Xenopus tropicalis: one gene and its partner. The protein of the gene in region 1 purifies or fractionates together with the protein of each later gene. This does not show direct contact. Links are inferred from orthologs where the notes say so. Each region holds a gene or a part of one and is shown in the gene's direction. Other genes may lie near its edges.

The links. Proteins that work in one complex are often made in the same cells at the same time.
Region 2: the proteins of nf2 (region 1) and amotl1 purify together in Homo sapiens (affinity purification with mass spectrometry; 6 studies listed by BioGRID and IntAct, counting the BioPlex papers as one, with this or other methods). This does not show direct contact. The link is inferred for Xenopus tropicalis from reciprocal best matches to the Homo sapiens genes NF2 and AMOTL1.

Annotation. Positions count from the first base shown.
Region 1 is NC_030677.2:144,769,172-144,772,671, reverse strand, and holds part of nf2 (merlin), read left to right. Parts: intron 1-3,168; coding exon 3,169-3,291; intron 3,292-3,500. UniProt on the Homo sapiens protein: Probable regulator of the Hippo/SWH (Sav/Wts/Hpo) signaling pathway, a signaling pathway that plays a pivotal role in tumor suppression by restricting proliferation and promoting apoptosis.
Region 2 is NC_030678.2:164,971,071-164,974,570, reverse strand, and holds part of amotl1 (angiomotin like 1), read left to right. Parts: coding exon 1-212; intron 213-3,500. UniProt on the Homo sapiens protein: Inhibits the Wnt/beta-catenin signaling pathway, probably by recruiting CTNNB1 to recycling endosomes and hence preventing its translocation to the nucleus.

The DNA of each region.
Region 1 (3,500 bases):
TTGCTGAGAATAATATGCATATTATTGTATTGTTTTTGTATGGTAAAAGCATAGTCTAATTTTCATACAGTTGTTTTTTTACACAGTACTTTGTCTGAGCTCTTTTTTCAGAATGGTACTTTTCCCAGGGCACTGAAGAACCATTTTTGTTACTTGATTTTAAAGTTTTAGGGTAATGACACACAGAGCTGCTTGCAACCAGCTACAGAATAGACAGTACTGATGATTTCCTCTACATGTGTTTTAGCAGAGACAATTCTCAATATTGTATCTGCTAAAACACATGTAGAGAAAATAAGTATTGTCTATTTTGTAGTAGGCTGGAAATAGCTCAGTGTGTCATAGCCCTTAGAGCAGGGATTTCCAACCTTTTTTACTTATCATCCATATCTTGGTGAGCCACACAAGCGTGAAAAAGGTTCCTTAAGGATGCTAAATAAGGGCCTGTGATTGGTTATTTGGTAGCCCATGTGAACTCCTAACCTGCACAAGGCTCTGCTTGGACAAAAACTGTGTCTATATGCTTCCAAAACTTGTCTTCAAGCCAGAAATGTAAAAATGGGCACCTACTTTGAGGCGACTGGGAGCAACATCAAAGGGGATGGTGAGTTACATGTTGCTCATGAGCCACTGGTTGGGGATCACTGCCTTGGGTGGCAGAGTTTGTTGCCACTTGTTTTGATGAACCCTAATCCCTTTAAGGTGCTGCAATTGTCAGTATATCCCATTGAGTGGTCCAGATTGGGCCTGGTAACAGTTAAAGGAACAGTAACACCAAAAACTGAAAGTGTTTTAGGGATGCACCAAATCCACTATTTTGGGATTCAGCTGAACCCCGAATCAGCACATGCAAATAAAGGCACAGAAGTAAAAAGATCTGTGAGTAGTGAAAAATGTTCACCTTCCTTGTCTATGTGATAAAGTCACACGATTTTAAGGATTCAGATTCAGTTTGTCCAGGACCATTCTGGATTTGGAGCATCCCTATTTTTAAAGTGATTAAAATATAATTGACTGTTGCCCTGTACTGGTAAAAGTTTTGTGTTTGCTTTAGCAACATTACTATAGTTATATATATAAGTTGCTGTGTAGCCATGGGGGCAGCCATTCAAGCTAAAAGAAAGGAGAAAAGGCACAGGTTACATAGCAGATAACAGATAAAATACCCATGTATTCTACTGGTCTGTTATCTGCTATGTAACCTGTGCCTTTTCTCCTTTCTTTTAGCTTGAATGGCTGCCCCCAGGGCTACACAGCAGCATTGTTTTATTTATAGGATTCCTGAAGCAAACACACCAATTTACCAGTGCAGAGTAAACAGTACATTATGTTTTAATTACTTTGAAAGGAACAATAACACCAGATACAGTGTTTTAAAATAATTAAAATATAATGTACTGTTGCTTTGCTTTTACTGATCTATTTGCTTCAGGAAAACTACTAGTTTAGAAGGAATTAAGGGCCGCCTTCTGGGATCATAGGATTCACAGTGCACACTATCAAGCCAAGGCACACATACATGCTAGGCCACATCGGCCAATTAATGGACAGAGTTCTGCTTTTGCTTCCATGCTACTTCCTGTTACAGTTAGAGCTGCATTATTTCCTGTCAGGTGATCTCTGAGGGAGCACACAGCCCATCACTAAATGGTGTGTATATATATATATATATATATATAAAATAGATGTGTAGAAAGCACTCACAGCATATAAAAGTAAAACAAAAATGTATTTGTTTATTAGCTCATCGCATCTACGCGTTTCGATCCTAATAGGATCGTCATCAGGATCCTATTAGGATCGAAACGCGTAGATGCGATGAGCTAATAAACAAATACATTTTTGTTTTACTTTTATATGCTGTGAGTGCTTTCTACACATCTATTGTTTACTTTTTGGTTAGCACCCGGCTAGTGCTCTTGAAACGGTGAGTGCCGATTTTTTTTTGATTATATATATATATGGATCGTTTTCATTAAAGAAATTTTTTGTTTTCTAAAAAAGTCCCTGCGTGTGCGGCTCATTGTCTTGCTATATATATATATATATATATATATATGTGTGTGTGTAAAAAGGTCCCAAAAGGGACCGAAACGTCGGTTGTACATGCAATTTTAATACACGAGAGATTTTTTGAAACACAAAGACCCTTGGTGCTGGCTGTTTTATTTTGATATATATATGTGTATATATATATATATATATATATATATATTCCAGTTTGCCGAGATTCTTTAATAGGTCACTTAACATAAACTATCTGTTAGTTAGGTATTCATTCTGGGGGTATAGTTTTCCTTTAAATAATTTTCATGGTGGTCATTCTTATGAAATTTCAGAAAAGAAGACTGGTCTTGTGTGTCCTTAATAGGTTACGTTTGAATTATTCTAAAATTCCTCAGTGGCAGCAATGTAAAGTCCAGTTGCAGCCAGGCAAGAATGTTAATAATGCCATCAAGGGGAAAAGGATGTCACAGTGACACCTTCACAACATGTAACATTCTAACACCCTGCCTACAAGTCATTGACTTGTATCCACATGATTACGCTTGACTAGAATACAGGTCTGTTTTACTGCAAGGGTGAACCACAAGGGGTCAGTGTTAGTACAGGTTCAAGTATAGCATTTTTAATTATTAAACACTAACACTGTGAGGAAGTGCTTCTTCCCGCTGTTTATTTTTCTCCCTTTCAGAGCTTTCATTAACTAAACGCAATTAACAAAATATTTTATTCTTGCAAAGCATGAGTCTAAATAAATAGTTGTAAAGCTCTATATCTGAGACAGATCTTTGTTTTACCTTCATGTTTAATTCATAAATAACTACCATTTTCAGTACAGCCGCATAATAGGGTTATAAACAACACATGCACAAGGTTGAGAAAACAGGGTGGCAGCAGAGGTCCTGCCGGTGATTTCAAATTAATTTTAAGGATGTCTACATATCACAATGCATATTAAAAACCATAATAATGTGTTCTGTGATGGGTGTGGCTGCTGAGACAAGTTTTTACTCTAAGGTTTGGTTGTATTTAATAACACAGCGCCACAGCTTTTAAAGACAGGTTTATACTCTTATGGATTGTTGAAACTTGTTAAAAAAAAAAAAATCCTTGTTATGCCTTAGTAGTCCCTTGTATCACTTTTAACTTGTTGCATCTCTATAGATGGAACGGCAACGCCTGGCACGGGAAAAACAACTGAGGGAAGAGGCGGAAAGAGCCCGGGATGAGCTGGAAAGAAGGCTGCTGCAGCTAAAAGAAGAGGCTCAGATGGCCAATGATGCATTGGTAAGACTTGTCTGTAGAGCCAGGTATTTCATGATTTATTAATAGTGTTACCCATACATATCTAAGCTTGAATGACTTTCTAACTAAACATGTGAGAAGTCATTGTGCTAATGGGGAATGAAAGCTGTTTGCAGCATCGTCAGGCTTCTGTTACTATTTGAGGTCTCTTGTATCTGGGATTGCTAATAAACAGCTCTGTATTGCTGTTC
Region 2 (3,500 bases), on another chromosome or scaffold:
AAAGAGATGGAGCAGAGAGGGCCCCCTCCAGACTATCCCTCCAAGGTGAAGCAGATAGTCAGTCCCATGAACAAAATGCAAGAACAGGTTCATTATTACAATGAACAGCAACACCCTGGGGCTCAGGATGTAAGTAAGCCATTTCTAACCATACAGCCAGCCAGGAGTGAGGTCCTGCGATACCAGCACCCTCCCGAGTATAATATAACCAGGTAACTTCATAATCTGTTTGTCCCTTTGCTTGTGCCGTTACGTTTTTCATATTTCATGTTGAATAGACTGCATGGTGCTGATAAGTAACATATAGTATTTCATTGTATATCGTTACGTCACTGGCAGGTATGTTCCTGGTACATTGGGCTGCTGTATGGGTTGAGATATAGAGAACCTGTAAGACACGAGTCCCCCTCGTGTGTCCCCGGCTCAAACAGTGCTGCTACTGAAGTAGCCTAAATGCTTGTGTGCTGATCCAAATCTAGTTCTGTGCACACAAGTCTCATTGGCACATCCAGTTAATATATGGGAGCTGCATGGAGAACACTTGGAATGGAATGTATGATAGACCAGCATGGGGCTATTGTACATCCTTACAGAAACATCTTATACTCTGATAGAAAAATACCAATAAAATAGATACAGGTATGGGATCCCTTATCCAGAAAGCTCCAAATTACGGAAAGCCTGTCTCCCATTTTAATCAAATAATTCAGAATTGTAAAACTGATTTCATTTTTCTCTGTAGTAATAAAACAGTACCTGTACTTGATCACAACTAAGATATAATTACCCCTTATTGGGGGCAGAACAGCCCTATTGGGTTTATTTAATGGTTAAATGATTCCCTTTTCTCTGTAATAATAAAACAGTACCTGTACTTGATCCCAACTAAGATATAATTACCCCTTATTGGGGCAGAACAGCCCTATTGGGTTTATTTCATGGTTAAATGATTCCCTTTTCTCTGTAATAATAAAACAGTACCTGTACTTGATCCCAACTAAGATATAATTACCCCTTATTGGGGCAGAACAGCCCTATTGGGTTTATTTAATGGTTAAATGATTCCCTTTTCTCTGTAATAATAAAACAGTACCTGTACTTGATCCCAACTAAGATATAATTACCCCTTATTGGGGGCAGAACAGCCCTATTGGGTTTATTTCATGGTTAAATGATTCCCTTTTCTCTGTAATAATAAAACAGTACCTGTACTTGATCCCAACTAAGATATAATTACCCCTTATTGGGGGCAGAACAGCCCTATTGGGTTTATTTCATGGTTAAATGATTCCCTTTTCTCTGTAATAATAAAACAGTACCTGTACTTGATCCCAACTAAGATATAATTACCCCTTATTGGGGGCAGAACAGCCCTATTGGGTTTATTTAATGGTTAAATGATTCCCTTTTCTCTGTAATAATAAAACAGTACCTGTACTTGATCCCAACTAAGATATAATTACCCCTTATTGGGGCAGAACAGTCCTATTGGGTTTATTTCATGGTTAAATGATTCCCCTTTCCCTTAGGTGTTAGATCGTAGAAGGTTCATTTTTTATTTAAAGGGTAACTTACTGCATCAGAACCTACAGACTTTCTGGCCTCCAGTTACTAATTTGTACTGGTTTTGTGATGGATGAGGCACTTGTTTAGACCCTTGATGCTAAATACATGACTCCAGCATTGGAGAGGCTTTGTTTGCCCCCAGGGTTGCGACCTGGCTGGTAAAAATGCTTAGTGATGCAGTGCCACAACCACCCCCATGGTGCCCCTTGTTCATAATAGGAGATGGTGGCATCCCTCATTGGCTGAGGAAACAATATGGCAGCTCACAGATAAGGAAGACGCAAAGAAAAATCTTTATGTGCATATATGCCGGCCAGCCTATCCCCTATGCTATATCAGCCTCCCTATGGATATCAGTTGCTGATAAACCATGTTGACCATGGGAAATGCCGCTCAGATCACATTCCCTATAAAACTCAGTGTATTTCCCGTGGATCTGAAAAACGTGCCCGTCTCTTTCTCATGCTTGGAAACTGCTATATATATATAATTGGGATGGAGAGGTATTTGGGAAAAGAGAGCGTTTCAGCCTTCCAAGTGAGCGCAGCCAAGACCGTGGGAGTTGCACCTTTGGGAATATTTAATTGGAGCCGCCATGAGAAAAATTACAGGAGAGAAACAGAAGAGAGGAATATTTTATTGTTCTAAAGGGATGTATATATGCTGAAAATGCGTCTACTGCCAATATGGAAGCCATTTGTTTTCTGGAGAAGCGGTGATGAATGTGTCACCATGGACAACTAGGAATTTTATTGTTTCTAAATATACCGGGTTTGTAAATATTTAGCGTTTTTGTGGTTAAAAGATTAATTATATACAAGGAAGTGCTACCAGAAGGCACCACAGGGTCCTAACACCCATCTGTATGATACTTACGGCCAAGGTGTGACACCAAGCTCTTCTAGATATACCTGAAACCCATCTTCATGTCCATTTAGGGTCAGCTGAGAGGGGGGTGAATTTATTTGCTGTTCTAGATATGCTTGAATTTACACTACACAATATTTTCATACATCTGCAAGCTTGTGATGAGCTAAGGAGGGCCCAGGCCAAAGGTTGGTCATCCATGTGAGGCTTTAATGGAACAAATTCCAACCAAGTTAGTTATGTGAGAAGTTTGAGTGAGTGGGGTTAATTTACTGGGTACCAGTGAGTGTACCTATTCAGAATTAGTAATCCCAGATACAGAATGTGCTAATGAAACCCCTCTTTGGAAAGTTTTCCTGGGAGGTACCTGCTGGTAAGGAGGCCAGATTACTTACAAAAGTGCCCTAGTGCCCATAACGAGAGTCTGCTTAGGCAACACTGTCAGACTGAAGGCCTGTGCCCATGTGTTTCCAATATGAATATGTTCTTCACATCTGTATATCAAGCACTTTGTTCTGTTTGGACCTTCAGTGTTTCCCAGATGAAGTCCAGAAGAGTTAGTTGAGGGAAGGCAGGGAGGGGAGTGCCAAGGTCCATACAGTTGGGACATAATAAACTATATGCAGTCAGAAAGTTTTCACATTTTGTCTCACCATGTCCAGACACCATTTTTGAGTGTTAAATCCTTCTTCTAGATGGTGCTAGACTGCACCAAAACACAATAGAAAATGCCATAGACAATGCACCACCTGGTGGTGATTTTTTGTAGATTTTTCCCCCATGTTAACTGGAGAGACATAATGGGACAACATGGTAAAGGAACTTGGCTGCATCTGTATGTATGTTTGGCTGGGGCTAAGAGAAAGGATCTCTGGTCTTAAGGGGTTAAGTAGTGAAAGGCTCTACGTTTGCCCAGAAGCAGTAATCCATAGCAACCAATCAAAAGGTGGAATTTGCTGGTCACCTGTTTTAAAGTAAATATCTTATTGGTTGCTATGGGTTACTGCTCCTGGAGAGTGGCCGGGTTAGGGTTGAGAGTGGGCGGGTTAGGGTGAGAGCGGCTGGGT